4 linked regions of the Macaca mulatta genome follow. The main gene of each other region encodes a partner of the protein of the gene in region 4 in a complex. Links are inferred from orthologs where the notes say so. Each region holds a gene or a part of one and is shown on either strand. Other genes may lie near its edges.

Region 1 (7,806 bases), on a different chromosome or scaffold from region 4:
CCTTGCCCGGCCCTGAGTCCCTATGACTTCATCTCTGACCAATCAGCACTCCTGGCTCACTGGCTTCCCCCGACCTACCACATTATCCTTAAAAACTCTGCTCCCCGAATGCTCAGGAAGACTGATTTGAGTAATAATAAAACTCCAGTCTCCCCCGCTGCCCCTGCTACCACACACAAAAAAGAATGCCATGTGAAGACAGAAAGCTGGAGTGATGCACCTATGAGCCAAGAAACGCCAAAGAATGCTGGCCAACCACCAGAATCTAGGAAGATGCAAGGAGGGACTCCTCTACAGGTTTCAGAGGGAGCATGATACCTTAATTTTAGACTTCTAGCCTCCAGAACGGTGAGACAATAAATTTCTGTTGTTCTAAGTCACCTGGTTTGTGGCACTTTGTTACAGCAGCCCAGGGAATAGAGAGATCTGATCAAGGGCAAGGGCAAGGGCTATGTTGCATTAGCTGGGCAGCTACTACTCCCCTCTCCCCCACCCTGAGGTGTGGAGAAATGTCCAGAGGACATGAGGGCTTGCTGCAGCAGCCCGCACGATGGCCATCACTATATGGTATGGAGGCAGAAGCAAAGGAAGTGTGGGAGAACACCTTCCCAACCGAAGGTAAAACTGCCATTCAGGCAAATTAGAACACATTCAAACCACAGAGGATAACTCATCTTCTTCTTGTTCAGACCTAGAGCTCAGAGTGATAAGTTCCATTTCATTATCATTACTAATTTTTATTTATTTTTGAGACAGAGTCTTGCTCTGTTGCCTAGGCTGGAGTGCAGTGGTGCAATCTCAGCTCACTGCAACTTCTGCCTTCCAGGTTTAATTCTCCTGCCTCAGCCTCCTGAGTAGCTGGAACTACAGGTATATGCTACCACGCACAGCTAATTTTTGTAATTTTAGTGGAGACGGGGTTTCACTGTGTTGGCTAGGCTGGTCTCGAATTCCTGACCTGAGGTGATCCATCTGCCTCGACCTTCCAAAGTGTTGGGATTAAAGGCATGAGCCACTGCTCCTGGCCGTTACTAAATATTTTTAAAGTAACTTTTCCCCCAATTGAAAAAATAATTTTCCTATTATGGAAAATTTGGAAAACTCAGAAAAGTAAACACAAAACAAAATTACCTAAAATCTCAACTAAAAATTACTATGAACATTTAGTGGAATACCTTTTCAGTCTTGTTCCTATGTGGCTATGTACTTTTGTGTTTCAGTAGGACAGAAAATACTGGGGTCAGCTTCAATTTCTTTGTTAATTACACTTTAGCTGGTAAACTTGAGAACATAATTCTCATTTGCCAATTGTTTCTCAATGAGGAAAGATAATCTGAATTCTTTTTTTCTTTCTTTCTTTATTTTTCAAATGAGACAGGGTCTTGCTCTGCTGCCCAGGTTGGTCTTGAACTGCTGGGCTCAAGTGATCTTCCTGCCTCGGCCTCCTAAAATACTGGGATTACAGGTGTGAGCCCAACGTGCCTGGCCACATTCTGAGTTTTGAACCACCCTTTCATCAACAAACTTTTGGACTGGACACTGCCGCATGACAGTCGGTAGAAACTGACTCTGTGCTTTACACCACACACAGCCCCAGTGTGGCTTCAACACTCACCGGAGTTTTGATGTAGGTGTGGGGATCAGGGAACTCAGGAAAATGGCTGGGGATGTGCGGCGGGTGGGGTCGGTTCTGCCCTGCAGTAAGAGCCTTGGGGGTCACTGGCTGATTGGTCACCGGAGCTGCAACAGAGTCACAATTGATTACCCCTCCACCCAAGACCCTGATTTCTACAGATTATGGTCTCTCCCCAAAGCTTCATTTTCTCAAAAAAATGCCAGACCTCAATTTTCTAAACAAGTTGCATTTTGTATTTCAATCCATAAACAGTCTTTGATGGCATACAATGCCCAGCCCTGCTGGCTAATCTTGGTTGACATTCCCTTTGACAACAATCTGCCCACAAGCCTCTTAGGTAGAGGTGGATGGCTATGGCCACAGTAACTATGTAAAACAGCATGCTGAGGAGCTACGCAAGTTACATGGGCTGCTGGTTCTCTTTTCACAGACCTTGGATAACAAAAAGGAACAATGAGCTGGGGACAGTAAGTGTGAGCTTAATGATAACAAGAGGGGATTGAAAATGGCACCTTCCACTGCTATATGTTGAGAGGGAGTTTTTTAAAAAAATACCAACATGAAAAAAGTGACTTTAAAGAAAAAATCCAGGCCGGGTGCGGTGGCTCACGCCTGTAATCCCAGCACTTTGGGAGACTGAGGTGGGCGGATCACTCGCGGTCAGGAGATCAAGACCAGCCTGTCCAACATGGTAAAACCCTGCCTCTACTAAAAATGTAAAAGTTAGCCGGGTGTGGTGGCGGGCACCTGTAATCCCAGCTACTTGGGAGGCTGAGGCAGAATAGCTTGAACCTGGGAGACAGAGGTTGCAGTAGTCAGCCGAGATTGTGCCACTGCACTCCAGTCTGGGCAGCAAAGCGAGACTCCATCTCAAAAAAAAAAAGAAAAGAAAAAAATCCAGTTAATTCTCTCCAGGTCCTACAAGCCCAAACTGGTTACTCGCCACTCAGCTTATGGCACCCAGTTTTACTTAAAGTAGAGGTCATCAAACTTTGTGTAAAGGGCCATATAATAAATACTTTACATTCTGCATGTGGTACAGTCTCTACCACAACTAAACTATGCTAATATAGCATGAAAACAGCCACAGATAATAAGTAAATATGGGTGCATTCTGATAAGACTTTATTTACAAAAACAGGAGGCAGGCTGCGTTTGGCCCATAGTCCACAATGTACCAACCCTTAATCTAAGGAGAACAAGAACTTTCATTTTTCCAAGCAGCATCATTTGCCCTTCTGGGGCTAGAGCACAAGAAACACAGCAATATCTCAAAGGTGGTTTACCTTTTGGTGACTGAATTTCACATGCTAATCCCACTAGCCCAAATAAAGATTATATTGTAGGTAGCCCCAAACATTGGAAGAGAGCCTGCAACAAGGAAGTAGCTACTAATCCAATCCCTACCATAGTCAATTACTTCATTCCACAAGCATTAATTGATAAATTGCTAGGTACCTCAGTTCAAAGTCACTTACGAGCAGTGATGACCATCCTCTGAGACCGTTTTGCATAGGCAGGGAGAGTGTCCACATTGAAACCTAAGAGACAGGAAAACAAAAATCACTGCCCAGACCACTGGATATTGAATACAGAAAGAATAGTAGTATTATGGACAAATGGCTTAAACTCTCAACTCAATGACCTTGCAGCCACGCAAAAAGCAGCTCTGGCAGAATTCCCCAACAGGGAATTATGAGGCCTCTTAGATGTGTTCAGAGGAATCTCTCTTGATAACTCTCTCAAGCTCAAAGCAAATCAAGAGAACCATGAGGGAAACGAAGAACACTTAGCAGACATGCCTGACTCCTAGGAACTTCTCTCTCCAGTTGCACGGAAGAACTGGAAACTGAAGGTATACTCACCCATCTCAACAAGTGTGACCACGATATCTGACAGTGTGGGCTGGGTCCTGGCTGTGTGCTCACAGTAAGACTTGGCACTTCTCCCAATTTCTGAAATGTCTAAGAGGGGATTAAAGGCATAAAACTTATTCTCGGTTCCTCAGAAAGCTAAACATAGAATTACCAGATAAGCCAACAATTCCACTGCTAGGTATATACCCAAATGAATTGAAAGCAGGGATTCAAACAGCTACTAGTACACCAATGTTCACAGCAGCATGATTCACTATAGCCAAAAGGTAGAAACAACCCAATGTCCATTAACAGGTGAATGAACAAACAAAATGTGCTATATACACACAATGGAATATTATCCAGCCTTTAAAAGAAGGAAATTCTGGTAATGTTATAGCATAGATGAACTTTGAAAACATTATGCTAGGCCAGGTGTGGTGGCTCAGGCCTGTAATCCCAGCACTTTGGGAGGCCGAGGCGGGTGGATTACCTGAGGTCAGGAGTTTGAGACCAATCTGACCAACATGGCGAAACCCCATCTCTACTAAAAATACAAAAATTAGCCACGGGTGGTGGTAGGTGCCTGTAATCCTAGCCACTCGGGAGGCTGAGACATGAGAAATAGCTTGAACCCGGGAGGGGGAGGTGGCAGTGAGCAGAGATTGCGCCACTGCACTCCAGCCTGGGCGACAGAGCGAGAACTCCTTAAAAAAAAAAAGAAAAAAAGAAAAAGAAAAAAATAGAAAACATTATGCTAGGGCCAGGTGTGGTGGCTTATGCCTGTAATCCCAGCACTTGGGAGGCTGAGGCAGGTGGATCACTTGAGGTCAGGAGTTCGAGACCAGCCTGGCCAACATGGTAAAACCCCATCTCTACCAAAAATATAAAAAATTAGCCAGGTGAGGTGGCACACGCCTATAATCCCAGCTACTCAGGAGGCTGAGAATCGCTTGAACCTGGGAGGTAGAAGTGGTTGCAGTGAGCCGAGATTGCACCACTGCACTCCAGCCTGGGACACAGAGCGAGACTGCATCTCAAAAAAAAGAAAAGAAAAGAAAAGAAAAGAAAAGAAAAGAAAACATTATGTTAAGTGAAATAAGGCAGACACAAAAAGACAAATAAAGATTCTACTTACATGAGGTATCCAGAGATGGAAAGTAGATTAGAAGTTACCAGGGAATGGAGGGGGAGGGAGAATGAGGAATTACTGTTTATGTTTACAGAGTTTCTGTTGAGAATGATGAAAAAGTTCTGGAAATACTGTGAATGGTTGCACAACATTGTGAATATACTTAATACCACTGAATTGTACACTTAAAAATGGTTAAAATGATAAATTTGGTTATGTGTATCTCACCACCACACACACAAAACGGTCTTATTCTCTGATGGGCAATTTTTGTTTCTTCTGCCTGAAGCTGAACCTCTATTTAAGAGTCACACTAAAGTCCTTTGGGGAAAAGGGGGGGAAGGTTTCTAAGATGGAGTTTTGAAGCTCGGTTCTGTGAATGAGCTTCCAAGGCGGACGGGAGGTTTCACGAATACTCTGAAGCTGTGCTGAATTTTACACACAAAAAAAGCATTTTTTGGGGAATGGGTCCACAGATTTTATCAAATGTATAAAGGGGCCTCAAAAGGTAAAGAACTCCTGCTCTAGGGATAAAATGTTGGCTCAGATTTTAAGTGGCTCAGAAAATAAAAGCAAGTAGTGCTTGACAGGGAAGGGTGTCTAACAGGGGACCTACCACCAATTCCCCTGCTACCCTGAGCAAGTCACTTAACACCAGCCTCTATCCATGACTTTTAAACTCTAAATTCCAAGACTGTTCCAAGAACTGCATTCTTATCTCTTGGGAACTATTAATTCATTCCTTTAGGACAAAGTTCAAAAAGTAGTGGAACCTGTGGTAGGCCCCAAAATCTGTTCTAAAGTCCACACAGGTCAAAACTATTTTCATGATAAAATTAAGTCATTATTTGACTTTTTCACTCTCATTCTCTCAGGTAGTTTTCCTGAGTCTATGTGACTTTTGATGACATCATGGGTCTGATGAATAACAGAATATGTAATCGTACGTTCTTATTTTCGAAATTTCCTTTTTCTTCTTCTTTTTTTTTTTTTTTGAGATGGAGTTTCGCTCTTGTTGCCCAGGCTGGAGTACAATGGTGTGATCTTGGCTCAATGCAACCTCCACCTCCTGGGTTCAAGCAATTCTCCCGCCTCAGCCTCCAGAGTAGCTGGAATTACAGGTGCCCGCCACCACACCCAGCTAATTTTTTGTATTTTTAGTAGAGACAGGGTTTCACTATGTTGGCCAGGCTGGTCTCAAAACTCTTGACCTCAGGCGATACACCCACCTCAACCTCCCAAAGTGCTGGGATTACAGGCGTGAGCCACCACGCCCAGTCCCAAAATTTGTTTTTTCTAACGTGGCAAATACACATATACAAAAGCTATTTGGGGTCCTCAATGTTTATTAATAAAAAGAGATTCTGGCCAGGCGTAGTGGCTCAAGCCTGTAATCCCAGCACTTTGGGAGGCCGAGACAGGTGGATCACAAGGCCAGGAGATCGAGACCATCCTGGCTAACATGGTGAAACCCCGTCTCTACTAAAAAATACAAAAAAAACTAGCTGGGCGAGGTGGCGGGCGCCTGTAGTCCCAGCTACTCGGGAGGCTGAGGCAGGAGAATGGTGGGAACCCAGGAGGCGGAGCTTGCAGTGAGCTGAGATCCGGCCACTGCACTCCAGCCTGGGAGACAAAGCGACACTCCGTCTCAAAAAAAATAAAAATAAAAATAAAAAGGGATTCTGAGAGCTGGGCATGGTGGCACATGCCTGTAGTCCCAGCTATGTGGGAGGCTTAGGTCCAGAAGTTTGAGGCCAGCATTGGCAACACAGCGAGACCCCATCTCTAAATGAATAAATATAGGAGTTCTGAAGCCAAAATGATTCAGATCACTGCTTTAGGAAAACATTTGGTATTTAAAAGTGCCAAACATCAGCTGCAGAGAATTACTTTGCCCAAGATCACCCTTCTTGGGGTAGCCCACATCTAGTGTTTGATCAAGACCTGAGTATAAAGGCAGGGCCTTTTCAGCTTGATAGGCAATGATGCTCCAGGGTTCCTGGCTAAGTTGTCCAGTTCTTTGTTTGGCCTGCATTGCACTCCACTTCTCCCTCTGCCCAAACCTTTCTCCTACTTCCTTTCATAGTTGTTGATCCCTAAGAAACACCATAAATACTTCCAACCCTCATCCTATCCCATCCCCCGAAAGTTCAAAACAGGGAAATATGTTGTACATGCAGAAAAGCCTCTGTGAGACCACACCCGGGCTTCTAAATCTCAACACATTTCCTTTTAAAAGTGGCTTTTCAGCTGGGTGCGGTGGCTCACGCCTGTAATCCCAGCACATTGAGAGGTGGGCGGATCACCTGAGGTCAGCAGTTTGAGACCAGCCTGGCCAACACGGTGAAACCCTGTCTCTACTAAAAATACAAAAATTAGCCAGGAGTGGTAGTGCATGGCTATGATTCCAGCTACTTGAGAGGCTGTGGCAGGAGAATTGCTTGAACCCAGGAGGCGGAGGCTGTAGTGAGCTGAGATTGTGAAACTGCAGCACCCCAGCCTGGGCAACAGAGTGAAACTCTTTTGTCTCAAAAAAAAAAAAAAGTGGCTTTTCCCCTTCATTCTTTGTATCACACAATCTAGCATTTGATTACATAATGTGATGATATCTATTGCATGGGGAATTAGCCCTGACTCCCCAACAAAAGTCCTTAAGGGCACCCATAACTCACCAAGAGCTTATAATCTCCCCAGCACTGAATGTTTTATATATATATCTCACTTACATTTGCAACTCCATGAGGTACAAACTGTTATCTCATTTCACAAATGAGGAAATTGAGGTTCAGGAGATTCAGTGGCTTGCCCAAGCTATTAAGTGACAGAGTGATGATGTACACCCAAGTCTATCTGATTCTAAAGCCCGTAAGTCACTTCATTATGCTCTTTTCTGTTTTTGTTGTTGGGGACGGAGCCTCACAGGCTGGAGTGCAGTGGTAAGATCTCAGTTTACTGTAACCTCTGCCTCCCAGATTCAAGCAATTCTCCTGCCTCAGCCTCCCGAGTAGCTGGGATTACAGGCACCAGCCACCACGCCCAGCTAATTTTTTTTTGTATTTTTTAGTAGAGACGGGGTTTCGTCTTGAACTCCTGACTTCAGGTGATTCACCCACCTTGGCCTCCCAAAGTACTGGGATTACAGGCGTGAGCCACCGCGCTCAGCCCATTATGCTCTTTTCTCA
Region 2 (7,806 bases), on a different chromosome or scaffold from region 4:
CAGGGCTCTGGCATTTCCTCACCTGTTTGTGAGCTTCTGTGGTGCAAGCTTTTTTGTAGGGTCGGATTTCTTCAGAGCCAAATCCTGGGATCCACATGTTCCACTGGCGCTCTGCAAGGAAGAAGCCAGTACAGAGATAAAGGTACCAAAAAGGCAGTACCAGGAGTGCAATGTGACCCCCTTGGATCAGGGAGGATGAATGTGGACATCTGGCTACTAACTAACTCCACAGAGGGATTATATTACAAATGGGAAAAATGGGCATGGCCTCTCCAAGGTTTTTTTTTCTTTTTTTTTTTTTGAAGACAGGGTCTTCCCGCTCTGTCACCCAGAGTGGGGTGCAGTGGCACAATGTTGGCTCACTACAGCCTTGACTGCCCCAGCACAAGTGATCTTCCCATCTTGGCCTCCCAAGTAGCTCCCAATAGCTCCCAAGGGACTGCAGGTGCATGCCACCATGGCCAGCTAATATTTCTTTCTTTCTTTCTTTTTTTTTTTTTTGGAGACAGAGTCTCACTCTGTCGCCCAGGCTGCAGTGCAGTGGCGCGATCTCGGCTCACTGCAAGCTCCGCCTCCCGGGTTCACACCATTCTCCTGCCTCAGCCTCCCGAGTAGCTGGGACTACAGGCGCCGGCCACCACACCCGGCTAATTTTTTGTATTTTTAGTAGAGACGGGGTTTCACCGTGTTGGCGAAGAAGTCTAGCTATCCTGGGACTGCTAAAGGATGAGACCATATGGAGAGATGGTGGGTGGGGAAGATGGGAAGGGTAGGACTGGGGAATGTGAAGGGGAATGGGAGGGTTGCGAGGGATGGAGGGAGACGCCTACAGAATCCCAGCTGTTTCAGTGTTCTTAGACCAGGCATCAGACATGGACGATATGAAGCCTTCCATTATGGGTTATTTAAATTGTGTCCCTAAAAAAGATATGTTGCAGTCTTAACCTTAAGTACCTCCAGAATATGATCTTATTTGGAAATAGGGATGTTGCAGATGAAACTGGTTAAAATGAGATCACATTGGAGTAGGGTTAGCCCTTAATCCAATATGACTGGTGTCCTGTGAGAAGAAAAGAAGAGACACAGAGACAGAGACACACAGGGAAAAGGCCATGTGAAGACTGAGGCAAAGCCTGGAGTTCTGTAGCTACAAGCCACGGAACACCAAGGATTGCCAGCCACCACCAGAGGCTAGGAGGAGGCAAGAATAGATTCTCCCCTAGGGGCAGCAATGGGAGCATGATCCTGCTGACACTTAGATTTCAGATTTCTGGCCTGCAGAACTGTGAGAGAAAATTTTTTGTTGTTTTAAGCTGCCAGGTTTATGGTATTTTGTTAAGGTAGCCCGAGGAAACTAGTATGCTTTCCTTCAAGACAATCTCAGGCCCAGCCACTGCCTGACTTAGTAAAACTAGCTGAGCCCAGTCAACCCCCAGATTCATGAATAAAATCAACAACTGTTATTGTGCTAAGCCACTGTTTTTGGGGTGGTCTGCTACACATTAATAGAAAACCAGAATATCTGTCCTTTTCTCTAGACACCAGCAACATTACCCAAAGTGTGTTACTTACTTTACCTAGACTACCAATGCATCCCTAAGGCAATAGCTTCTTGACGCTGTGAAGGAAGCCTTTCAATAATTAGTCATGGGCTGATCTGCACCGAATCTCATTCATTTGGCCTGTCTCTATAGTTATACATTGGGCTGGGCATGGTGGCTCACGACTGTAATCCCAGCACTTTGGGAGGCCAAGGCAGGTGGATCACCAGAGGCCAGGAGTTCGAGACCAGCCTGACCAACATGATGAAACCCCATTTCTACTGAAAATACAAAAATTAGCCAGGTGTGGTGGTGCAGGCCTATAGTCCCAGCTACTTAGGAGGCTGAGGCAGGAGAATCGCTTGAACCCAGGAGGTGGAGGTTGCCGAGATGGCGTCACTGCACTCTAACCTGGGTGACAGAGTGAGACTCGATCAAAAAATATATATATTTATTTATATATATATAGTATAATATATATAAAGTATATATAATATATAAAAATATATATTTATATAAATATATAAATTATATATACTATATATATACACCCACATAAATATATACATATATATACACACACACAGTTATAGACTGATCTTTCTTTTAATCACATTGTATCCAATGCAGAAGGCTGCTTATTAATTTCCAAGTGATTATGGTTATCACTGTTAGCTGAGTATTTCCCAGAAAAACTCAAACTCAAATTTAGTGTCTGTTAAGTAGAAAAGGAAAATATAAAATTGTATGTATATTATGATTATAAACTTGGGGAAAATGCATAAATAAGCTAAAACTGTAAGGGAACACTGAGGAACAGTTTCATTTGAATGGTGGAGACATAACAGTACCTACATTTACTAGATCCTACTTTGTGCAGGCCCTGTGCCAGTCACTTTACAGACATAGTCTATAATTCTCACAATTATTCTGTAAGGAGGATATTATGATCCTCACTTTACAAATGAGGAAACAGACTCTAAGAGATACTAGGTAGGAAAAATAGGCTGATACAGCTGGAAAGTGGCAGAATCTGGTTTCAAACCCATGCCTGGGCTCATTCTCCCTACCATAGATGGATTTCTCTTTTCTATTTGGTGCTGTTATTGAATTAATACATAAATCCCAGTGCCCAAAAGTCTGACTCTGGCATGAAGGTTCTTCTGACTGCACTTTCCCTGGCAGTCCTGAAGAAGCAGTTGAATATATACTTCAGGGAGAAACAAGACCACATACCTAAATGCAGCTGGACATCTTTCACCTCCAGGGTGCTGGACTTGCGATGCCGCGCAAGCTGACAGGCTGCTGTCACCACACTCTCGATAAAATCATCAGCAATCTGCAGCAGCATCTGGGGAAGGTAAAGTGGGGAGAGTCAGCACGACATTGGCAGGGTAGGCTCCTGTTGCTGGGACAAGTGCTTTCAGCTTGTATTGCGTATTTAGTCAGGCTTTCTAGTAGAAGGCTGGAATCAGCATTTGGGCTAAGGTGAGGAAGAGGAATGAGAAGGACAAAAGAAACATTACCCAGGTTGAGTGCAACTCATACCTTACTGAGCATATAATTTCTACCCAGCAGTAATCAACTAACCCAATCCCTGCCCTCCATATCTTTATTTATTAGTGAGAAAATAAAAGTGAATCATTTGAATTCCTCACTCACAGTATTTTAAAAGCACTTTTGTTTCCATTATCTCACTTAGTCCTTACAATAATCCTGTGAAGAAAATGGGACATGGATTTTATTCATTCCACAGAGGATTTCACAGACTCAGAGAGACTAATTTGTTCATGGCCATGTAAGTAGAAAGCAGAAGGCCAGGCGCAATGGCTCATGCCTGTAATCTCAGCACTTTGGGAGGCCGAGTTGGGAGGATCACTTGAGGTCAGAAGTTCGAGACCAGCCCAACAATATTACAAGAGCCCCATCTGTATTTTAAAATAAATAGGCTGGGTGCGGTGGCTCACGCCTGTAATCCCAGCACTTTGGGAGGCTGAGGCGGCCGAATCATGAGGTCAAGAGATTGAGACCATCCTGGCCAACATGGTGAAACCCTGTCTCTACTAAAAATACAAAAATTAGCTGGGTGTGGTGGCATGTGTCTGTAGTCCCAGCTACTTGGGAGGCTGGGGCAGGAGAATCACTTGAACCCGGGAGGTGGAGGTTGCAGTCAGCCGAGATCGTGCCACTGTACTCCAGCCTGATGACAGAGCAAGACTCTGTCTCAAAAAATAATAATAATAATTTAAAAAATAATAACAAATAAATAGAGGCCAGGCATGGTGGCTCACACCTGTAATCCCAGAACTTTGGGAGGCTGAGGTGGGCAGATCATTTGAGGTCAGGAGCTCGAGACCAGCCTGACCAACATATTGAAACCCAGTCTCGCCGGGCGCGGTGGCTCACGCCTGTAATCCCAGCACTTTGGGAGGCCGAGGCGGGCGGATCACAAGGTCAGGAGATCGAGACCACGGTGAAACCCTGTCTCTACTAAAAATACAAAAAATTAGCCGGGCGCGGTTGTGGGCGCCTGTAGTCCCAGCTACTCAGGAGGCTGAGGCAGGAGAATGGCGTGAACCCGGGAGGCGGAGCTTGCAGTGAGCCGAGATCGCGCCACTGCACTCCAGCCTGGGCGACAGAGCTAGACTCCGTCTCAAAAAAATAAAAATAAAAAATAAAAAAGAAACCCAGTCTCTAAGGGCCATGCACAGTGGCTCAAGACTCTGTCTCAAAAAATAATAATAATAATTTAAAAAATAATAACAAATAAATAGAGGCCAGGCATGGTGGCTCACACCTGTAATCCCAGCACTTTGGAAGACCGAGGCAGGTAGATCATCTGAGGTCAGGAGTTTGAGACCAGCCTGACCAACATGGTAAAACCCTGTCTCTACTAAAAATACAAAATTAGCTGCGCACGGTGGCGGGCATCTGTAATCCCAGCTACTCTGGAGGTTGAGGCAGGAGAATCGCTTAAACCCAGGGGGTGGAGGTTGCAGTGAGCCGAGATTGCACCACTGCACTCCAGCCTGGGCGACAGGGCAAGACTCTGTCTCAAAAAAAAAAAGAAAGAAAGAAAGCAGAGGAACCAGGATTCCAACTCAAGGGTTCTGAGTCTAAATCTTGAGTTCTTTCCACATCACTATCAATTATTATTGGACTGTGTGAAGAGAAGGATGAGAATTCTGAAGATAAAAATCTACATATCTACATGAGGCACTCCTATAATCCCAGCACTTTGGGAGGCCGAGGCATATGGTTTGCTTGAGCTCTGGAGTTTGAGACTAGCCTGGGCAACGTGCATGGCAAAACCCTGTCTCTACAAAAAATACAGAAATTAGCTGGGCTTGGTGGCATGCACTCGTAGTCCCAGCTACTAGGGAGGCTGAAGTGGGAGGCTTGCTTAAGTCCACTTAGTCGAGACTGCAGTGAGCTGTGATCATGGAACAGCACTCCAGCCTCGGTGATAGAGACCTCATCTCAAAAACAAACAAACAAATAAGTAAATAAATATGCACACACATGAAAAAACTGAGATTTTTATCAGTCCATAGAGTCCCCATGGCTTCCTCTGCTGACAAACAAAAACAAACTAAAATTACAACCATAGATACAAAATTCCTTGTTCTGGTGGACCATTAACTCATTGTCATCTTTACTGTGGGAACCAAATGCACACCATCTAAGAGAAAGATTTCTGATTAAACAGCAGATCAATTGACCTCCTGTCCCTCCCTAATCCCATTAATATGACAGTTAAAAAAAACATATTGCCAGGTGCAATGGCTCATGCCTGTAATCCCAGCCCTTTGGGAGGCCGAAGTGGGTGGATGACCCGAGGTCAGGAATTCGAGACCAGCTTGACCAATACGGTGAAACTCCATCTCTACTAAAATTACAAAAATTAGCTGGGTGTGATGGCGTGCACCTGTAGTCCCAGCTTCTCAGGAGACTGAGGCAAGAGAATAGCTTGAACCCGGGAGGCGGAGGTTGCAGTGAGCCAAGATCACGCTGCTGCACTCCAGCCTGGGCAACAGAGCAAGATTCCATCTCAAAAAAAAAAGAAACTAAGGGATAAACTCTCAAGATAGGAGACTGGAATTTTCTCTGGAGATATTGAATGATTCCAGAGAAAAGACTCACAGATACTGACATTTAGGGAACTTTCCATTAGGAAGGTTGACTTGTGGACAAATTACTCTGAAGTCAATCAAGTCTGTGGTCTGCTAGAGTGAACCAAGACCTGCTCATAAAAGCCAATTATGGGCCGGGCGCAGTGGCTCACGCCTGTAATCCCAGCACTTTGGGAGGCCGAGACAGGCGGATCACGAGGTCAGGAGATCGAGACCATCCCGGCTAACACGGTGAAACCCCGTCTCTACTAAAAATACAAAAACTAGCTGGGCGTGGTGGCGGGCGCCTGTAGTCCCAGCTACTCGGGAGGCTGAGGCAGGAGAATGGCGTGAAATGGGAGGCGGAGCTTGCAGTGAGCCGAGATCAAGACACTGCACTCCAGCCTGGGCAACAAAGCGAGACTCCATCTCAAAAAAAAAAAAAAGCCAATTATGTACCTCTTTTCCCAAGTTTGTATTTAGTGATGTCATGTTGGTAGAAATAGTTACATCACAGAAATAATAAAGTACTGCAAATTGGGCATTTTCCTCCAAAGAGCTGGTTGTTAAACATTTATCCATATATTACTGGGCCAAATTCATCAATTATGCTTCAAATCAGCTTTTCAGAGGGTGATTCTTTTTTTTTTTTGAGACAGGGTCTTGCTGGGTCGCCCAGGCTGGAGTGCAGTGGCACAATCTCAGCTTCCTGCAAGCTCCACCTCCTGGGTTCACAGCATTCTCCTGCCTCAGCCTCCCAAGTAGCTGGGACTATAAGCTCCCGCCACCATGCCTGGCTAATTTTTTGTATTTTTAGTAGAGACGGGGTTTCACTGTGTTTGCCAGGATAGTCTCGATCTCCTGACATTGTGATCTGCCCGCTTTGGCCTCCCAAAGTGCTGGCATTATAGGCTTGAGCCACTGCGCCTGCCCAGTGGGTGATTCTTTAAGAATGAATAGCCAGGGTCAGACATAGTGGCTCACACTTATAATCCCAGCACTTTGGAAGGCCGAGGCGGGTGGATCACTGGAGGTCAGAAGTTTGAGACCAGCCTGGCCAACATGGTAAAACCCTGTCTCTACTAAATATATGAAAATTAGTCAGGTATGGTGGTGTGCACCTGTAATCCCAGCTACTCGAGAGGCTGAGGTGGGAGAATCGCTTGAACCTGAGAGATGCAGTTTGCAGTGAGCCGATATTGCACCACTGCCCTCCAGCCTGGGTGGCTGAGCAAGACTCTGTCTCAAAAAAAAAAAAAAAAGAAAAACAGTAAGGAAAGTTATATGGGCCAGCAGGCATGATACCTCATGCCTGTAATCCCAGCACTTTGGGAGGCTGAGGTGGGTGAATCACCTGAGGTCAGGAGTCCGAGACCAGCCTGGCCAACATGGCAAAACCCCATCTCTACTAAAAATACAAAAATTAGCCAGGTGTGGTGGCACATGCCTATAATCCCAGCTACTTGGGAGGCTGAGGCAGGAGAATCACTTACTTGAATCCCTGGGAGGCAGAGGTTGCCGTAAGCTGAGATCGTGCTACTACACTCCAGCCTGGGCAACAGAGCAAGACTGTCTCAAAAAAATAAAAATAAAAATAAAAAAAGAAAGTTATATGGTACATATGTGAGTGGTGTAAAAAATTCTCATTTACCATAACTCACACCTGTAATCCCAGCACTTTGGGAGGCCAAGGCAGGTAGATAACCTGAGGTCAGGAGTTCGAAACCAGCCTGACCAATATGGAGAAACCCCATCTCTACTAAAAATACAAAAATTAGCCAGGTATGGTGGTGCATGCCTATAATCCCAGCAATTCAGGAGGCTGAGGCAGGAGAATCGCTTGAACCCGGGAGGTGGAGGTTGCGGTCAGCCAAGATTGCGCCACTGCACTCCAGCCTGGGCAACAAGAGTGAAACTCCATCTCAAAAAAAAAAAAGGATATTATAAAATTAATGGGTCAAAGAGTATCTCTTTAAGTATATTACTTAGAAATATAGAAGAATGTTACAGAAACAGCTAAAATTGTTGAAAGTGATTGCCTATGAGCAACAGACTATGCCTTTTTTAACAGGCAAAAGTAGCAGCAATTATTGGGTATAAAGCAAATGCAGATTTGTCTGTGCTCTTATTTTATTTTATTTATTTATTACAGT
Region 3 (7,806 bases), on a different chromosome or scaffold from region 4:
TCTCTTCCCCTCTGGAGTCAAAAGGAAGGCAAGGAAGCCCTCTCCTTACACAGGAGCTCAGCCCTTCCCAGTGGCCACGCTTCCCTGGCCTTTGTAAGGGACACCTTCCCTCCATGCCATTTTGCCCTGTTCTCGCTACTAATCAAGACAAAACAAGTGCAACTTGAACAGAGCACAAGAGCCAGCTCCCCAGTGGATACTCCTCACCCAGCTGGTTCTGACGTGTGCACCATCAGAACACATACCGGCTCAAGATGAGGGAGCCCGCACCATTGTGTTTTTTAAACTGTCTTTAGAGGAAGAAAACCCCGCTGACATTTTTTTTTAAACTGCCCTTCTATGTTTGGTGAATCCCTCTGCCTGTGAAAGGGAATGTGCTCGAAATGTAACTCTTCTGGCGAAGACGTCCTTTCTCTAGCTCCAGAGCAAACGTCGTGACTACAAAACCAAGAAAGCCAGATCCACATTGCACATACGTGAACCGCTACGAGCAGCCGCAGCTTTGCCTCCCGGGACCCACCTAAATCCACCCTGCGCTGTGAGCTGCTACCGTCTCCAGTCTCCTGCCCACCTGTCCCACGCGGGTGCCCGTGTCTTACGCTTGGACCGCTGCTCCTAACCCAAGAGAACATCTATCTACAAGATCCTCTAAAAACACACTGCATTCGTTTACACCAGTAACATCCCTAGACAAGACAAGGCGGGGATGTGCCAGTGGTTCAAAGCCAATTCAACTATTTCATTTTACTGAGACAAAACACAAAATCCCAGGGCCTCAACCCTGATTTCTATTTTAACTAAGGTAATGCCTAAGCTTCCTCTAGCAGGAGCCTTCCTGCATGCTTGGAAAAGGTTTCTGAACCATGGCCAATTTATCTAAGAAGCTGGAGGGAGCAGAGGCACGGTGGGCTGTGTGGACCAGTAAGGTGCCCCTTCCATACCAGCGGTGTGGGTTGCCCCTGCTTGCCGACGCCGACCTGTGTGGGCTGCGTGAGGCTGAGCACAGGGGGCTGGAGGGCACTGGTCACGGTGGCCGCCGTCTTCCCGGCCGTGCGCTGGACTGAGCTACTCAGCACCACAGCCGTGAGCGCAGTGGTGGCCTGCGAGGCGGGCGGTGGCGGCTGCTGCTGGCTCTGCTGGATGAAGGCCGCGGAGTCGGGAGTCAGCTGTCTCAAGGCGGGTAAGCTCCTCTGGGTGGAAAGACAGACACGAGGGGTCAGGGGGTTGCTCATGCGTCAGTTTTCCTTGCTTAAAAATTCAGAAATATCAACTTTTACAGAAAATTTTTGAGTTAAATAAGACGGATGTTGGCCCTCACAGCAGCACGTCTGGATGTCAGGGGCCAGGACCCCATCCCGCCCTCCCACTAGGCGGGATTATTCCTGATAGCAAATGTCCAAAATGTGTTTAAGAAAACAAACAAAAAGAGCCATATTTTTAAAATAGTTTTTAAAATATTTTAACATCACGGGAAGAGAAGATTCTGAATGTTCCCAACACATGGAAATAAGTATTCAAAGTGATAGACCCCACATACCCTGATTCTATGAATGTAACAAAACATTACATGCACCTCATAAATATGTACAAATATATGTATTAAATTTTAAAATGTGCTCATACCAATGATTATCCAACAGACAGCCTGACACTCTTAAAACCCTTGGTCCTATCCAGTTTTGCAAACACTACCCCAATTCCCTGTTCCCCTCGGTTTCAGGAAGCACGCGCCCTTCTCACCGCCTTGCGCACAACAGAACCACAATTCCCTGTTCCCCTCGGTTTCAGGAAGCGCGCGCCCTTCTCACCACCTTGCGCACAACAGAACCACAAGGCCACAGTGTCAGGGGAGCTCCTGCTTTACAGAAAAACACCTAACATTCTGTCCCCAGGCACTGAGTCCCCGGCCCCACCCCCGCAGGGAGCACAGGCGCTGTGCACCCTCCGTGCCTGGAGCATCCTCACCCCTGTGCACTTGGAGCATCTGCGCCCCACCCCTCCCTGGCCCTGCTGCTTGTCAAGCACCCGGGCCTTCGAAATTACCTTCAGGAAAGGCACAAGGTAAGGTTGAGGTGAAGAATTAAGTTCTCGGTATAACCTGCTTGTGAAATCTTCTGCTTCGATTTTTCCATCCTTAAAAATAAAATCCATGTTGAAATTCTGGTGAATGAGATTCCACACACACTTCTGAATCCCGCATCACTCTGGTCTTGTATTTTACGGCTGATTCCGCCCCGAGTTTCACTGGACAGAGGAGATGGGAAAGTCTGCGTGCTACACCTTCCACAGATACACGTGTGACAGGCGCTCACCCTGGACACCGCAGTGCAGCCAGCTGCGGACCACGTCTCCTCCTGGGAGGGTCACCTGTCTACTTCTCGTCTTTTTCTAAGCCTCTTACTCAATGCCAGTCTTTACTCAGTGTTTACCAGGCACCTATTCGGTGTCAGGCATTTTGCTAGGAGGCAGATCAGCCTAAAAGTAACTCCATTATCAAAGCCAGCCCTGCAAGCACAGTGCTACAGGAGGTCACAGCGTGCCAGGGGCCACACAGACAGGATCCAGACAGTCAGGGCATCAGCACCTTCAGGAGCAGACAACAGCTGTGCTCACCCCTGCAAGCAGTCACGGTGCCCAGAGTCCAGTCAGATAAAAGGGAGCCCAGAGCAAGAGGGCCAGATCCTGTTTCAGAAACAGAGGCCAGCGTGGCATAAAGGTCGGGAAGACAGGCGACAAGGGTGGGAAGGCGGTGCCTGGACTGAACCCTGAGAGACTCAGGAAGACATGGTCAGGCGGGCAAGGAGAAGGCACAGAAAGACTGGCCACTCCAGATCCCCAGGCCATCCCACTGAGGCCAGCATACCCCTGAGCCATGAGACAGCCGTGGGGAGAGCCAAGGTGGAGAGCCAAGAGTTCGGCCATGAGTAGAGATGTAGAGCTTGGGACTGTGGGTTAAGGAGAGGGGAGGCCGCCAGGAATCCTCCCACGTTCTGGCCAGGAGACAGAGTGCTGTTCACTGCGACAGAGGTTTCGGAAGGGGTGGGGGCAGGGGTGGGGGGACGGCTCTGCCACTGGAGCACGAATGTGCCTCAGCTGGTCTGCTCCACGGGGAGGGGGCTTCTGCTGGCTCAGGGTGCGGAATGCCTGTTCCAGCAGGGATTGCGGACACCTGGGAATTTTACAAGAGGTCACACAGGAGTGGGGAGAGGACCAGAAGGGAGCTGCCAGGGACCCTGGCCAGAGTGCAGCATGGTGGGGGCAGCCAGAGGAGAAGAGAGCCACAGACAAGGGACACAGGCACCAGAAAATGGCAAAGCCCAGGAGACCACCAGGCACCAGCCCCAGAACACCCAGCCCCAGGAAGGAGTCTCCTCAGCTAGGCCACACACACCTCTGACAGGTGTGCACCCCCCCCTCTGCCTGCAGCCTTCCAGAGGAGTTCTCCCTTTGCTGGCACAGGCCTCCCAGGCACAAGTCACAGCAGCAATAGGTGTCTCTCCTATGCAACAGGCCTTAGGGAAAAGGGAATGTCAAGTCAAGGTTTCTCACCAGTAAATTCTGCACGAGCTCTTTCACATTAGCTGCTGTCTCTGTAGACTGCTTGCCAGATGAAGCCAGTTTTATTAACGTAGATAGGAAATTTTTACATTTCTTCACGTTTTCCATAGTTTCCTGGATTAAAGTAAAAAGACATAAGTGAAAAATCTTAAAAGGCAGATTTTTGTCACAGCCTTTGGTTAATAAAATATGCGTATGTATAAGAGATACATATATTTCTCCTCTAAACTTCAAGAAAACGCACCACCTCTTGGCCTGTGGATGGGAGTGGAACCCCGGGCCATGCTCTGAGGGGCGGCCCAGCCACATCAGTCACATGGCCACCGAAGTCAGCATCTCCCACAGTCCCGCAAGGCCACGTCTAGGAATGTAGCTATGCAAATAATGAAAAAAGTGAAAAGAGACTCTGCGAAGACGCCTGCTGCAATGTCGCTGACCATAAGGACAACCTATGCCAATCCAAATGGACACAGAAGGAAACAAATAGGAGGCAGACATGAAAGCAACGAAAAGTGCGCAGCAAAGAAACCCAAGAAGTTGCCAAGTGGGGCTCACTGTTCACAGACGTCCATCACCACAGGCCAACACTGCACGTGTACAAACGGGTGGTGCCGCCATTTTACAGACTGAACGCGACAGTCCAAACGGGTGGCGCCGCCATTTTACAGACTGAACGCGACAGTCCAAACGGGTGGCGCCGCCATTTTACAGACTGAACGCGACAGTCCAAACGGGTGGCGCCGCCATTTTACAGACTGAACGCGACAGTCCAAACGGGTGGCGCGGCCATTTTACAGACTGAACGCGACCGTCCAAACGGGTGGCGCCGCCATTTTACAGACTGAACGCGACCGTCCAAACGGGTGGCGCCGCCATTTTACAGACTGAACGCGACCGTCCAAACGGGTGGCGCGGCCATTTTACAGACTGAACGCGACCGTCCAAACGGGTGGCGCCGCCATTTTACAGACTGAACGCGACCGTCCAAACGGGTGGCGCCGCCATTTTACAGACTGAACGCGACCGTCCAAACGGGTGGCGCCGCCATTTTACAGACTGAACGCGACCGTCCAAACGGGTGGCGCCGCCATTTTACAGACTGAACGCGACCGTCCAAACGGGTGGTGCCGCCATTTTACAGACTGAATGCGACCGTCCAAACGGGTGGTGCCGCCATTTTACAGACTGAACGCGACCATACGCCAGTGACTTTTTCAAAGGCAGGTGTTTGGGCTTCTGCTGTTTGCAGACTTCTGCAGTCTGAGGCCCTCAGGGCCCACCTCAAGCAGCAGAGCCCCACACGCTCACGTGGGCCCCAGACTGTTCATCGCTTTGTGAAGCAGGCAGCGAGCAGTCTGGGACAGAAGCCGGCCCGAGGTCTCAAGGCTGCCTTTTCTGACCTGCGCCATGGGCCTGACCGTCTTTGAAGGCACAGAAAGGAGCGGCTCTTACCGTGGCAGCTGAGGAAGTGGCGGTTGCCCCTGGAACCGTGCGCTGAGGAGTCCCCGTCTGAACAGCCGTTGCCGTCCCAAGTGAAGCCGTCTGGGCAGCACCGCCCAGAACGAGCTGAGGCTACAAGAATCCAAAACACAAGGTAAGCGCATCTCATGCTACCAGCTAATGAGGGGAAGACCAGCCTCACACCCAGAAAAAGAAAACAAGCCTCCCTGTGGTGGCCAGGACGCCCAGGAAGCCAAGAGCCCTGGACACCTGCCAGTCAGCTGGACATGGGAGTGCTGCTGGGACGCCTGCCCTGTGCCCTGACGACCGCAGTCCTGAGCACCTGAGGAAGGCATGATTTGCACCTGCATCAAAAACAGATGTTCACAAAGCCAGGCACTGCAGAGACTCCAGTCCTCAGAAGTCCATGGAAAAAGGCACATAGTGACCAGAGTAAATAATCCTAACGGACAACCCAGATCCCCATCTCTCAGAAATCAAAACAACTGAAGAACGGCTCCTGAAAGCTCCATCCTCCCAGATGCAGAGGCTGGCTACAGGGCAGTCAGGCCTCCACAGCCACAGCCTCTCGCAGGGGAGGGTCCCCAGCTCCCTGCAATCACCCAAACCCACCTTTCTTTACTCCCCAAAAGTGAGTGTCAACAAGAAGCCTCCCACAAAGGGGAGTTTTCAGAGCAGATTCGAGCAATGAAGGATGATGGGTCATCAGTGTCAAAGTGTCAGAAAGGAGCGGCTGCTTTGCTAAGCAAATGAACAGCCAGACACCAAAAGGTAGCTCAGACAACTCGGTGGCCCGCACTCAATTCCTCACATTTCCATTCTACACGAATAATCAGAATGCAAATGTTTACTGATATTTTAAACCAGTACTTTTCCAATGTATAAATCTAGTCGTCAACATTCTCTTCTCTCCAACTTTTTAAACACTCCTTTGCAGCTTCTGAAAGCAGGGGGCAGTGTAAGCCTGAGAATGGCTCCAGAGCAGCGAGCGCAGCTCCCTCCCTGCGGCAAGGTGGGTGCAGCCCCGCCAGCACGCAGGAAGCAGCTCTGAACAACCCCACAACCCCGCTTCCAGAGGGGTGCGGAAGGGCTGTGAGGAGACAGCAGGGCAGACGGGCTGTTTCTAAGTCTGTGTATCTTTTCACTTGTAACAATAAGCATGGATTTTTTTTTAACTGAAAAACATCAAATAAAAACCTCCAGGGAAGAAAACGTAAAACGACACACCAAGCTGCTGTTTCCGGACCCCAGGAGTGCCCAGGACCTATCTCATCTTTTGGGAGTTTTCTTTCCCATCAGAACTGACTCCTCGCACTTACTTCTGCTCCTGTGAACACATATTTCACTCAGATGATATCCAGATCGTGTCTGCCACTAAGTATAATGCAAAAACTTAACCATAAGCTTCACTACCTTCTCAGAAAAGTCACTGTACCCAAAAATCCAGACGCACCAATCAGAGCACAGGACAGAGCAAGCTCCTCCAGGGAAAACACCGAGGGCAGGGCCCGCACCAAAGGCCAGCACACGTCTCCCTGGTACCGAACCGCCCTTCCACCCGCTTTCACCCACTGCAGCTGCAGCCAGCCGGGACAAGATCCCGTGAGGGTGGAAGAGCCGGGTGGGGGGAAGCTGCCCCTGAAGTCCACACCCCCGGGGCTCAGCCTCTGTTTCACCACTGAGCAATGGGAGCAGGGTCTGTAGCACTGAGGCAAGGACTCTGGATCCGTCAGCAGCGCGTCCAGGCCTGGTTCACGGCAGGAGCTTCACCGGCAGTGACCAACACCACAGAGACCTGCGCATCCACGGACGCTCACAGATACCAGACCAAGAAAAACCCCCGAACCACTTTTCTCCCAGCTGCTTCCTGCTGACTGCCCAGAGAAGGCTGCTTCCCTCACCAGGTGCGTCTGACCAGCCAGCCCCTTCCCCTCCACGCACCTCCGCTGCCCTCCAGAACAGCCCGGCTGCACACAAACCCTTCTGGGTTCTGCAGACCAAAGGCAGAGCTGTCAGGAGCATCAGCACCACTAGGAGAGGGGCTAGCACCTGCTCTGGGACACGCCCCCCTCCGCAGATGAAAACGCTGTTCTAGAAACCAGCGGCCACCTGGGTAGGTGCAGAACCCTTCTGGAACTATGCTCTCACTACGGAACGGGACGTGAGTGGCAGGTGGCAGCATGGCGTGGCAGGCACCCTGCAGGCGGCATGGCCAGGAGTGAGTCCCAGAACCTCCCTCGCCTCAGCATAAGCGCCGCATCACGAGATGAAAGAAGCGAGCTCATCTGCTTCCCAGGGTGCGGTGAAAATTACAGTCCATGTGCCTGCAACAGTGAGAACGACGCCTCGGCCACATTCATCTCAGCGACAGCTGCCATCCCCATGGTTACACACAAGGCCACATGTGCACACACACACTGTCCTCACCGCAGGCTGCTTCTGCTTCAGACATGCCTTATGATCAAGTATTAGTAAGCACATAGTTTTAAAGCTTCCAACATGGTGGAAAGCTTGAACAGTGTTGCTGGTGTTAAATTCTGTGTGACTAAAAAAAAAAAAAAAAGAGATCCTGACTTATCCCATGCTGGTGGTCAAAGAAACAGCACTTTCTTCAAGGAGAACCTTCCTCCCCAAATTTGACTTAGTATCCAGTTTAAAAAAAAAAAAACTCCTAAGGCCTGATCTTTGCATCAAAGAAATCAGGCTTCATGGCCCCTGCAGCCTCAGCAGATCCACCGCCCGCCCTCTCACCTGGACGCCGGGCGAGCGCTGCAGGGTTGCACTGGG
Region 4 (8,347 bases):
GTTTTGCTCTGTTGCCAAGGCTGGAGTACAGTAGCACAAGCTCAGCTCACTGCAACATCCACCTCCCAGTTTCAAACTATTCTCCTGCCTCACCCTCCCGAGTAGCTGGGATTACAGGTGCCCACAACCATGCCCAGCTAATTTTTTTTTTGTATTTTTAAGAGATGGGTTTCACCATGTTGGCGAGGCTGGTCTTGAACTCCTGACCTCAGGTGATCTGCCCACCTCAGCCTCCCAAGGTGTTGGGATTATAGGCATGAGCCACTGCACCCAGCCATTTTGAATATTTAGACTTGAGTTTCCTGAGATACTTTCAAGTATTTTTCTAGTACACATCTGGCTAAACTAAATCTGAAGCACAGAAGAATCAAAGTTGGAAATGTGGATTTTAGAATCCATTTAGAACTCATAACTGAAACAGGAATAGTGAGATCAATATACTATTTTGTTATTGTATCCAGAATCTTTCCTTTCTGTTATTGATGGAACTGCCAATATTGGTGAGATCTTGGTAAGAATAAACTACTTGATAAATGATCCAGTGTAAAGCCAGATATGGTGGGAGCTTTTCAGGTGTCAATCTTTTAAGTGTAGCAAAATACCTAGATTACCAAAACAGGAAATTTTGTCACCTAGCATCCTAAACTGTTTTTTTTGTTGTTGTTGTTTAATATATATTATTCGGAAACCTCAAGACAATACAAAACCTAGATATTGAGGGAAATCTTGCTTAAGCTTACATATTCTGTGTTAAAATCTTAGTCACGGCCAGGCACGGTGGCTCATGCCTGTAATCCCAGCACTTTCAGAGGCTGAGGCGGGTGGATCACAAGGTCAAGAGATCAAGGCCATCCTGGCCAACATGGTGAAACCCCATTTCTACTAAAAATACAAAAATTAGCTGGGCGTGGTAGCGCATGCCTGTAGTCCCAGCTACTCGGGAGGCTGAGGCAGGAGAATCGCTTGAACCTGGGAGGCAGAGGTTGCAGTGAGTCAAGATAATACCATTGTACTCCACAGCAAGAATCCATCTAAAAAAAAAAAAAAACAACAAACTTATAAAAACGTTTTCAGTTAAAAGATAAATTAGCTGACCAGGCGCGGTGGCTCATGCCTGTAATCCCACCACTCTGGGAGGCCGAGGCGGGCAGATCACGAGGTCAGGAGATCAAGACCATCCTGGCTAACGTAGTGAAAACCCCGTCTCTACTAAAAAACACAAAAAATTAGCTGGGCATAGTGGTGGACGCCTGTAGTCCCAGCTACTCAGGAGGCTCAGGCAGGAGAGTGGTGTGAACCCAGGAGGCGGAGCTTGCAGTGAGCCAAGATTGCACCACTGCACTCCAGCCTGGGCAACAGACCGAGACTCTATCTCAAAAAAAAAAAAAGATAAACTAGCCTTCTGAAGCCTGCAAATGTCAGCATATATAATTGTAGACCTGAGGACTAGGTAACTAATTTTTTTAAAAAAACATTTTAATATAGTTTCCTGTCGGATACAAGTAAAAGGGATTTTAGGCTGGGTGTGGTGGCTCAGGCCTGTAATCCCACCAATTCGGGAGGCCAAAGCGGGCGGATCACCTGAGGTCATGAGTTCAAGACCAGCCTGACCAACATGGTGAAACCCTGGGTCTACTGAAAATATAAAACTAGCCAGGTGTGGTGGCGCATGCCTGTAATTCCAGCTACTCAAGAGGCTGAGGCAGGAAAATGGCTTGAACCCAGGAGGCAGAGGTTGCAGTGAGCCAAGATCACACCATTGCACTCTAGCCTGGGCAACAAGAGCAAAACTTTGTCCTTAAAAAAAAAAAAAAAAAAAAAAGGCCGGGTGCGGTGGCTCACGCCTGTAATCCCAGCACTTTGAGAGGCCGAGGCAGGTGGATCATGAGTTCAGGAGAGTGAGATCATCCTGGCTAACACAGTGAAACCCCGTCTCTACTAAAAATACAAAAAAAATTAGCTGGGCGTGGTGGTGGGCACCTGTAGTCCCTACTCGGGAGGCTGAGGCAGGAGAATGGTGTGAACCCAGGAAGCGGAGCTTGCAGTGAGCTGAGATCGTGCCACTGCACTCCAGCCTGGGCGACAGAGCTAGACTCCATCTCAAAAAAAAAAAAAAAAAGGACTTTATTTTCAAACCCAAGCTTCTCATAAACCAACCTGTCAGAAACAAATTGCATACAACTCTGCCTCTTTTATCAGTAACTGATTTTTCAAAAATAGCTCATGTTGTGAGGCATTAAATTATCTTTAAAGCATGAGAAATTTGGTACCGACTTACTTTATGAGCAATTTTGATGAAATGACATTGATAAATGACCTCAGTTCTCAGATTATTAATTATAAGAACTCAACTGAAGAAAAATAGAAATAAAATCTTAATCCAAACCAATGGAATGATTCATTGGACTGCACTTGATAACCACTGCTTTGTTTCCAACATTTTGTGCAGGTAGATTTAGTAAGCTTTTTAAAAAAGGCACAAAGGCCTTCATCTACAAAAATTAGGGTAGTTTAAGAAAGCTCTGTATCTAATGTTTCCCAGCTTTCAAGTAGATCAGATAGAACTGGAATCTTAATATGATGCAAACATGACAATTCCCAATTTCTTTACCCCTGCTGTGTTGCTTTTTTTCATAAACCAAACTGCCTCTACCTGCAGAACTGGATCAAATTTCTTAGTCACTAAACTCCACCACGAAACCACCTCAAAAGGGACCTGACTCCCACCAACCATGAAAGAACAAGATACACTACAAAGTGAAAAACAGATGCTTTTATTTATTGTATTGTAAACAACTTAATAAAATTTGCATCTCTACATATGGGAAACTGCTTTGAGTAACTGGGAAAACAGCTATTGCATGGGAAAACATATGCAAACTAGCATCACTGTCTCTAGACTAGGTTCTTCTTATTGATCTCATGTCATCATAAGGCAGCAACAGCAGCTTCTAGAAAATGGAGAAACAGCAAAGTCCTGCAGTGGAGCTATAATTAAGGTTGAACCATACATTCCACTAATCCTGCAACTTTCCTACTATCATTTTTCTGCCTATACAATCCTGCTTCTTATAGGATGAACACCTAGCAAAACAATGTAAATTTGCTGAAAAACAAAACTATAAACAAATGAAAGAACTTAACAGAACACACAGCATTAGAGGGACTAGGAAGTGCAAGGTGTTAATATCCAGTACAAGTAATAAAGCCAAGAATTTTCTAATGCTGATCAGTCTGAACACTGAAATTAAGAATCAGTTCTTTTTACTTCTCTAGGAGTGATTCTAGCTCTTCTTGCAAAGAGCTGAGTTGCTCCTTTTCTCGGTCTTCCTTTTGTTTGAGCTCATCCAGTACAGCCTGAAATCTGTTCTTGAGAGCCAGATTTTCCACTTTCATGATGAGATCCTCTTGTCGTTTTGCCCTGTCCTGGGTCTCTTGGAGCTTGCCTTTCATGTTGTCAATCTGCTTCTGAATTCCCATAACCAGCTGATTGGTTCCCTCATTTTCCTGGTGCTGTTCATCTGATTCATTTAGCTTGTCCTGTAGTTGTCTCTCCAGATCTTCCTCAGTGTCAATGATGTTTATATCTTCTTCATCTTGATGCTGGGTCTCATCTTCATCCTCACTGCTGCTGCTGAGGTCATTGAATATCTCCCGAAGCTCATCATGTTCTAATGAGTCATGGCCCTGCCTGTGACCAGACATTCCTGGAGAAGAGATATCCAGGCCTTGATTTTCTGCCTCCTTTGTTTCATCTTCAGCAATTATTTCCCACCGAGTACTAACAGCTTCAGCATCTGTACTCAGCAATCGTTTCACTTCTTTTTCCACATCTGGAGATTCAATATATTTCTTCTTTGCTGTCTTCCGGAACCTTCTCTTCCTGACATTCTTCAGAGGCAGAGTAATTCCGTGGTTCCAGATAAACTTTTTCTCTTTGTCCTTATCCTTTTTCTTGCTTGCTTTAGGATCAGTGCTAGCAACTGGCTCCTCCACAGGTGGATAGAGATCACCATCAACTGTGGATACAAGCATCTGACAGATATCAGCTGTCTTGTAAAAGGTTTTCTTATCAATGGTTTTCAAGCTTTCCATAACACAGGGCAGGTCTACCAATTTTGAGGCCAATGGAACACGGTCCACTCTGACGATTCCATGACGCCCATCAGGATGTAACTCAATTGTCAGTCTGTCCTTGAGGTTGACATGACCAGACTGTACTGCTCTTCTCACAGTAGAGGCATATTCTGGAGGCAGACGTAAGATAAACTGGCTCTCCAGTTCGTGAGGAGCATCATCTTTGCTTTTACTCATTTTTATTTCTTTGTGACTCACTTCTCCAATAAATGATGGTTACCGTAAAAAGTTCCAGCTACTGCAATAGTTTAAAACACCAGTTCGCTATGAATTGAAATATTTTAATTACAAGAAGTTCTCTGTAGATCAGCAGCTTAGCGTCTATTTTGCCTTCGTTTTTATTTAAGCTCCAAGTCTTTTCTCTAAATATGCTGTGACCAAATACCAGTCGTTAACACAAAGGCTTATTCACAGACTTAAGTTCATTAAATCAGATGCAATGCCAAGTCCCAACCTCTAGGTGCCGCTGCCCGACAACGCGGAGACAGCTACCTAGCTAAGAAGCAGGAAAGCAAATGGCGGCTCCCGCGGAACGGTTTTCGGCCCAGAAAGGCCAGCAGAGATACTCTCAATTTACAAACTCTCCCGGAACAGACACTCAAAACATCAGGGCTCAGTGAGCTCTCTTCGCCTCGGGTACTTACAATCCAGTGACGATTATAAGTTCAGTTTCACCGGGCCGGAGCGAAGGGAAGAGGAGGCCGCAAGGAGCAAAGCGGGAGGCAGCCAAGCGTCTCCTTGTCGTTTCCTTAATTCTTCCTGCCGCTTGGCAGAGTGATCCACTATCGATTACTGATGAAAGCCCAGGATGGGCAACGCGAAATCTTGCCGAGAGGCGCAGCTCGGAGAACCAGACCCGGCACCTCGCCGGCCCTCCGTTCGACCGCTTGCCCAGAGAAAACGGAAGTGCTACGTCACGACGCGGGGCGGGAGGTGGATGTGAGTGACAGCCCCTCCGGCCGGAAGGGCGGAGCCCCGGCGCGCGCAGGCGCAATAGCGCAATTACGCTGCCCAGCGTGAAACTCGTCTTTTCGCGAGAACTTGCTTTTCTGGGATGAAAATGATAGTGTTTTCGAAGAGCTGTTGGTTTCAAACTATTTAGCGCTTGGAAGTTACAAGAAAGACACGGATTCGTCCCCCGCTAAGCCAGCACTTTTAAGGGATCGCTGTGGGGCCGGATGGCTTCTAGACTTCCGGGTGATTCCGGGAGATGGGGGACGCCTGGCAGTAAGCGTCTTTGCTTCTGGAAACATCTCGGATGCTTCCTAGGGTCTAGCCAATCTGGTGCCAATACAAGAATGTGTAGCTACTATACAATGGATTTTAAAGAACCCAAATCAGTGGAGTGAGGAGGACATGGAGCTCACTATATAATTCTAAACCTCTCTTTGTTTGTTTGTTTGTTTGTTTTGGAAATGGAGTCTAGGCTGTCACCCAGGCTTGAGTGTAGTGGCACAATATTGGCTCACTGCAATCTGCACCTCCAGGGTTCAAGCGATTCTCCTGCCTCAGCCTCTTGAGTAGCTGGGATTACAGGCACCTTCCACTACCCCAGCTAAGTTTGGTATTTTTAGTAGAGAAGGGGTTTCACCATGTTGGCCAGGCTGGTCTCCAACTCCTGACCTGAGGTGATTTGCCTGTCTTGGCCTCCCAAAGTACTGGGATTATAGGTGTGAGCCACCGTGCCTGGCCCAAAGTCTATATTTTGTTTAATATAATTCCCTGTAGGGGAATTGTGCCTCTGGGTTTCCTTCTGTTCTGTAATACTCCTGAGGAAACAAGGGTGATTCCTTTTTATATGCTTGATTTAGATGTAAATGTAAGCAGAGAAGGAAGTGTTCTTCTGCAAGCACAGGTTCATTTTGGACAGAATTGTCTGATAGACTGAGCATCTGGTTAAAGTAGACATAATTGAAGTATTGTTTCCTGCTTCTCATGTACAAGTAATTTTAAATACTTTGACTTTTTTTTTAACTCCACCTCTACTATTTTGCTGTTTTGTGCTTGTCTTTTCTTTGGAGGGTCAGGTATTCATCAACACATATTTTTAGTATTTTGACATAACTGGGTAACAGTTGGTACTTATTTCTATTTATTTCCATTTATTTTTAAAATATCTGGTAGAGCATCAAGGCCATTAACATTTAATTTCTATCCTCTAAAATATTACCAATTGCCCCTAAATTTAAGAGAATTCTCTTAAGATGTAATTAACATTTCCAAAATTCACTTTATTCCTGTATGATTGAAAGCTCCATGATAGTGATCTTTTTCTATCCTGGTCATTGTGTCCCAGTGCCTAGTACCAGAACATGGGAGATACACAAAAAATATTTGCTAATTGAATGAAAAAATTGATCTATCTAGAAAGATCATAGTCTTAAATGCTGTAGTGATTTGTGAGAGAAAATACATTCTTTGTCACTTTAAAATGAGATAGAGCCACTTTACATACATTTCCTCTCTAGTCAGGGACAATGCTAATTGTTATGAGGTGGGGAGGTTTGCTAATAGTGTGTGTGAATGTGGTTTAGCTAGAATGAGATACTGTCGTGGGAGGAAATTAAAATGACCTGAGGTTAGTTTGGTTCTTAATGTTAATTTTAAAAGAGAAAGTATGCCCTTCCAGATAACTGTAAATTATTTCTCTTTGCTTATAATGTGTTGAAGAATGTTAGCTGACTTACCTATACCTCTTTTTCAAAGATAAAGCTTTTTCTAGTACAGGCATGAGCCACCTCACCTGGCCATGTTTTATTTAGCCATATAAAATGTGAAGTAATTATACTTGAAAATAATCCAAATATTACTCAGCATCTTCCCTATGAGTTTTATGATGCTCAAATATTCTTATCATAGAAGTTAACTTGAAATAAATTGTATCCAATTTTTCATTTTCCAAAATTACTATATATTTTAGTTTCTAAACCTTTTTTTACATGGAATATTGCCAGACATAGTTAAAAGGATTAACTAAGGTTTTCTTAATGTATCTAACTCCTTCAGTCCTAAACTATATTTTCTGCTTTTGAGTTTAACACATTTTCTATATGCTGTTTTTAGGAGAGGAAATTATATTGACCCTAAATATTTTTTAAAATTGGGTTTATCAGTAAACATTAAGATAATCTGCTGGGTGCAGTGGCTCATGCCTGTAATCCCAGCACTTTGGGAGGCCAAGGCAGGTGGATTGCCTGAGGTCAGGAATTCAAGACCAGCCTCTCCAACATGGTGAAACCCCATCTCTACTAAAAATATTTTTAAAAATTAGCCAGGCTTGGCAGCAGGCACCTGTAATCCCAGCTACTCAGGAGACTGAGGCAGGAGAATTGCTTGAACCTGGGAAGCAAAGGTTGCAGTGAGCCAAGATTGTGCCATTGCACCCCAGCCTGGGCAACACTGGAGCAAAACTCCATCTCAAAAAAAAAAAAAAAAAAAAGATAATGTGATGTGGCAGACCTCTGCCTATCACTAAGGCCTAAGGCCTCTGCCACATCACATTATCTTAATGTCTACTGATAAATCCCCAGTTTTTTTTTTTTTAATTCCATTAGACATTCAGAAAAACTCTGAATTGATGAATTACACTCCTGTGGTTGTTCCATGGAATATCTGTGATAGTAGTGAACAAAAGATTTGGGGAGAGCAATAATTTCCCCGGTGTGGTAACAAGTCCTCCAAAGGCTTCCTGCCTGTCATTAAGGAGTGTGGCAATCAGGTTACTAATAATTGTGTATGTTTGAAAATTCCATTTAATACACTTTCTAGTTCCTTAAAGGGCTCCAAAGTATAAGCAGCCCTTTAATACACTTTTTAGTTCTTTAAAGGGCTGCTTGTACTTTGGAGGTTAAATTATGGGTGATGGGAGAAATCCTGCTTATATTTAGGAGGTAGAAAATTATAAGGGTGAGGAAATAGCAAATACCACAGAAAAGCCAACTTACATATTGCTATATCACCATATATTTTAAAGGTAAAAAGGCTAACTAAAAATATATAGCAGTTCCTGTATCTAGTAGGATGTTTTCTATAGGAAAAACATTAAAATCTAATTTACACTGGTTTAAACGGTAAGAAAATCTATGATCCCAAAAAACAGGTAGTCCAGCGCAGCTTTGTCCAATAGAAATATAATGTGGGCCACAGATGGTGAGCCATAGATGTGATTTTAGATTATCTGGTAGCCACATTCAAATAGCAAAAAGAAACA

The links.
Region 1: TAF7 (region 4) and TAF8 share a complex: the UniProt entries of both Homo sapiens proteins name them as parts of the TFIID basal transcription factor complex. The link is inferred for Macaca mulatta from reciprocal best matches to the Homo sapiens genes TAF7 and TAF8.
Region 2: TAF7 (region 4) and TAF12 share a complex: the UniProt entries of both Homo sapiens proteins name them as parts of the TFIID basal transcription factor complex. The link is inferred for Macaca mulatta from reciprocal best matches to the Homo sapiens genes TAF7 and TAF12.
Region 3: TAF7 (region 4) and TAF4 share a complex: the UniProt entries of both Homo sapiens proteins name them as parts of the TFIID basal transcription factor complex. The link is inferred for Macaca mulatta from reciprocal best matches to the Homo sapiens genes TAF7 and TAF4.

What each region holds. Positions count from the first base shown.
Region 1 is NC_133409.1:140,102,563-140,110,368, forward strand, and holds part of TAF8 (transcription initiation factor TFIID subunit 8), read right to left. Parts: intron 3,601-7,806; coding exon 3,502-3,600; intron 3,178-3,501; coding exon 3,115-3,177; intron 1,741-3,114; coding exon 1,616-1,740; intron 1-1,615. UniProt on the Homo sapiens protein: The TFIID basal transcription factor complex plays a major role in the initiation of RNA polymerase II (Pol II)-dependent transcription.
Region 2 is NC_133406.1:212,284,849-212,292,654, reverse strand, and holds part of TAF12 (transcription initiation factor TFIID subunit 12), read right to left. Parts: intron 2,893-7,806; coding exon 2,778-2,892; intron 112-2,777; coding exon 23-111; intron 1-22. UniProt on the Homo sapiens protein: The TFIID basal transcription factor complex plays a major role in the initiation of RNA polymerase II (Pol II)-dependent transcription.
Region 3 is NC_133415.1:114,804,396-114,812,201, forward strand, and holds part of TAF4 (transcription initiation factor TFIID subunit 4), read right to left. Parts: coding exon 7,771-7,806; intron 5,131-7,770; coding exon 5,011-5,130; intron 3,673-5,010; coding exon 3,550-3,672; intron 2,134-3,549; coding exon 2,044-2,133; intron 1,191-2,043; coding exon 942-1,190; intron 1-941. UniProt on the Homo sapiens protein: The TFIID basal transcription factor complex plays a major role in the initiation of RNA polymerase II (Pol II)-dependent transcription.
Region 4 is NC_133411.1:150,150,680-150,159,026, forward strand, and holds TAF7 (transcription initiation factor TFIID subunit 7), read right to left. Parts: upstream 5,047-8,347; 5' UTR 4,315-5,046; coding exon 3,265-4,314; 3' UTR 2,755-3,264; downstream 1-2,754. UniProt on the Homo sapiens protein: The TFIID basal transcription factor complex plays a major role in the initiation of RNA polymerase II (Pol II)-dependent transcription.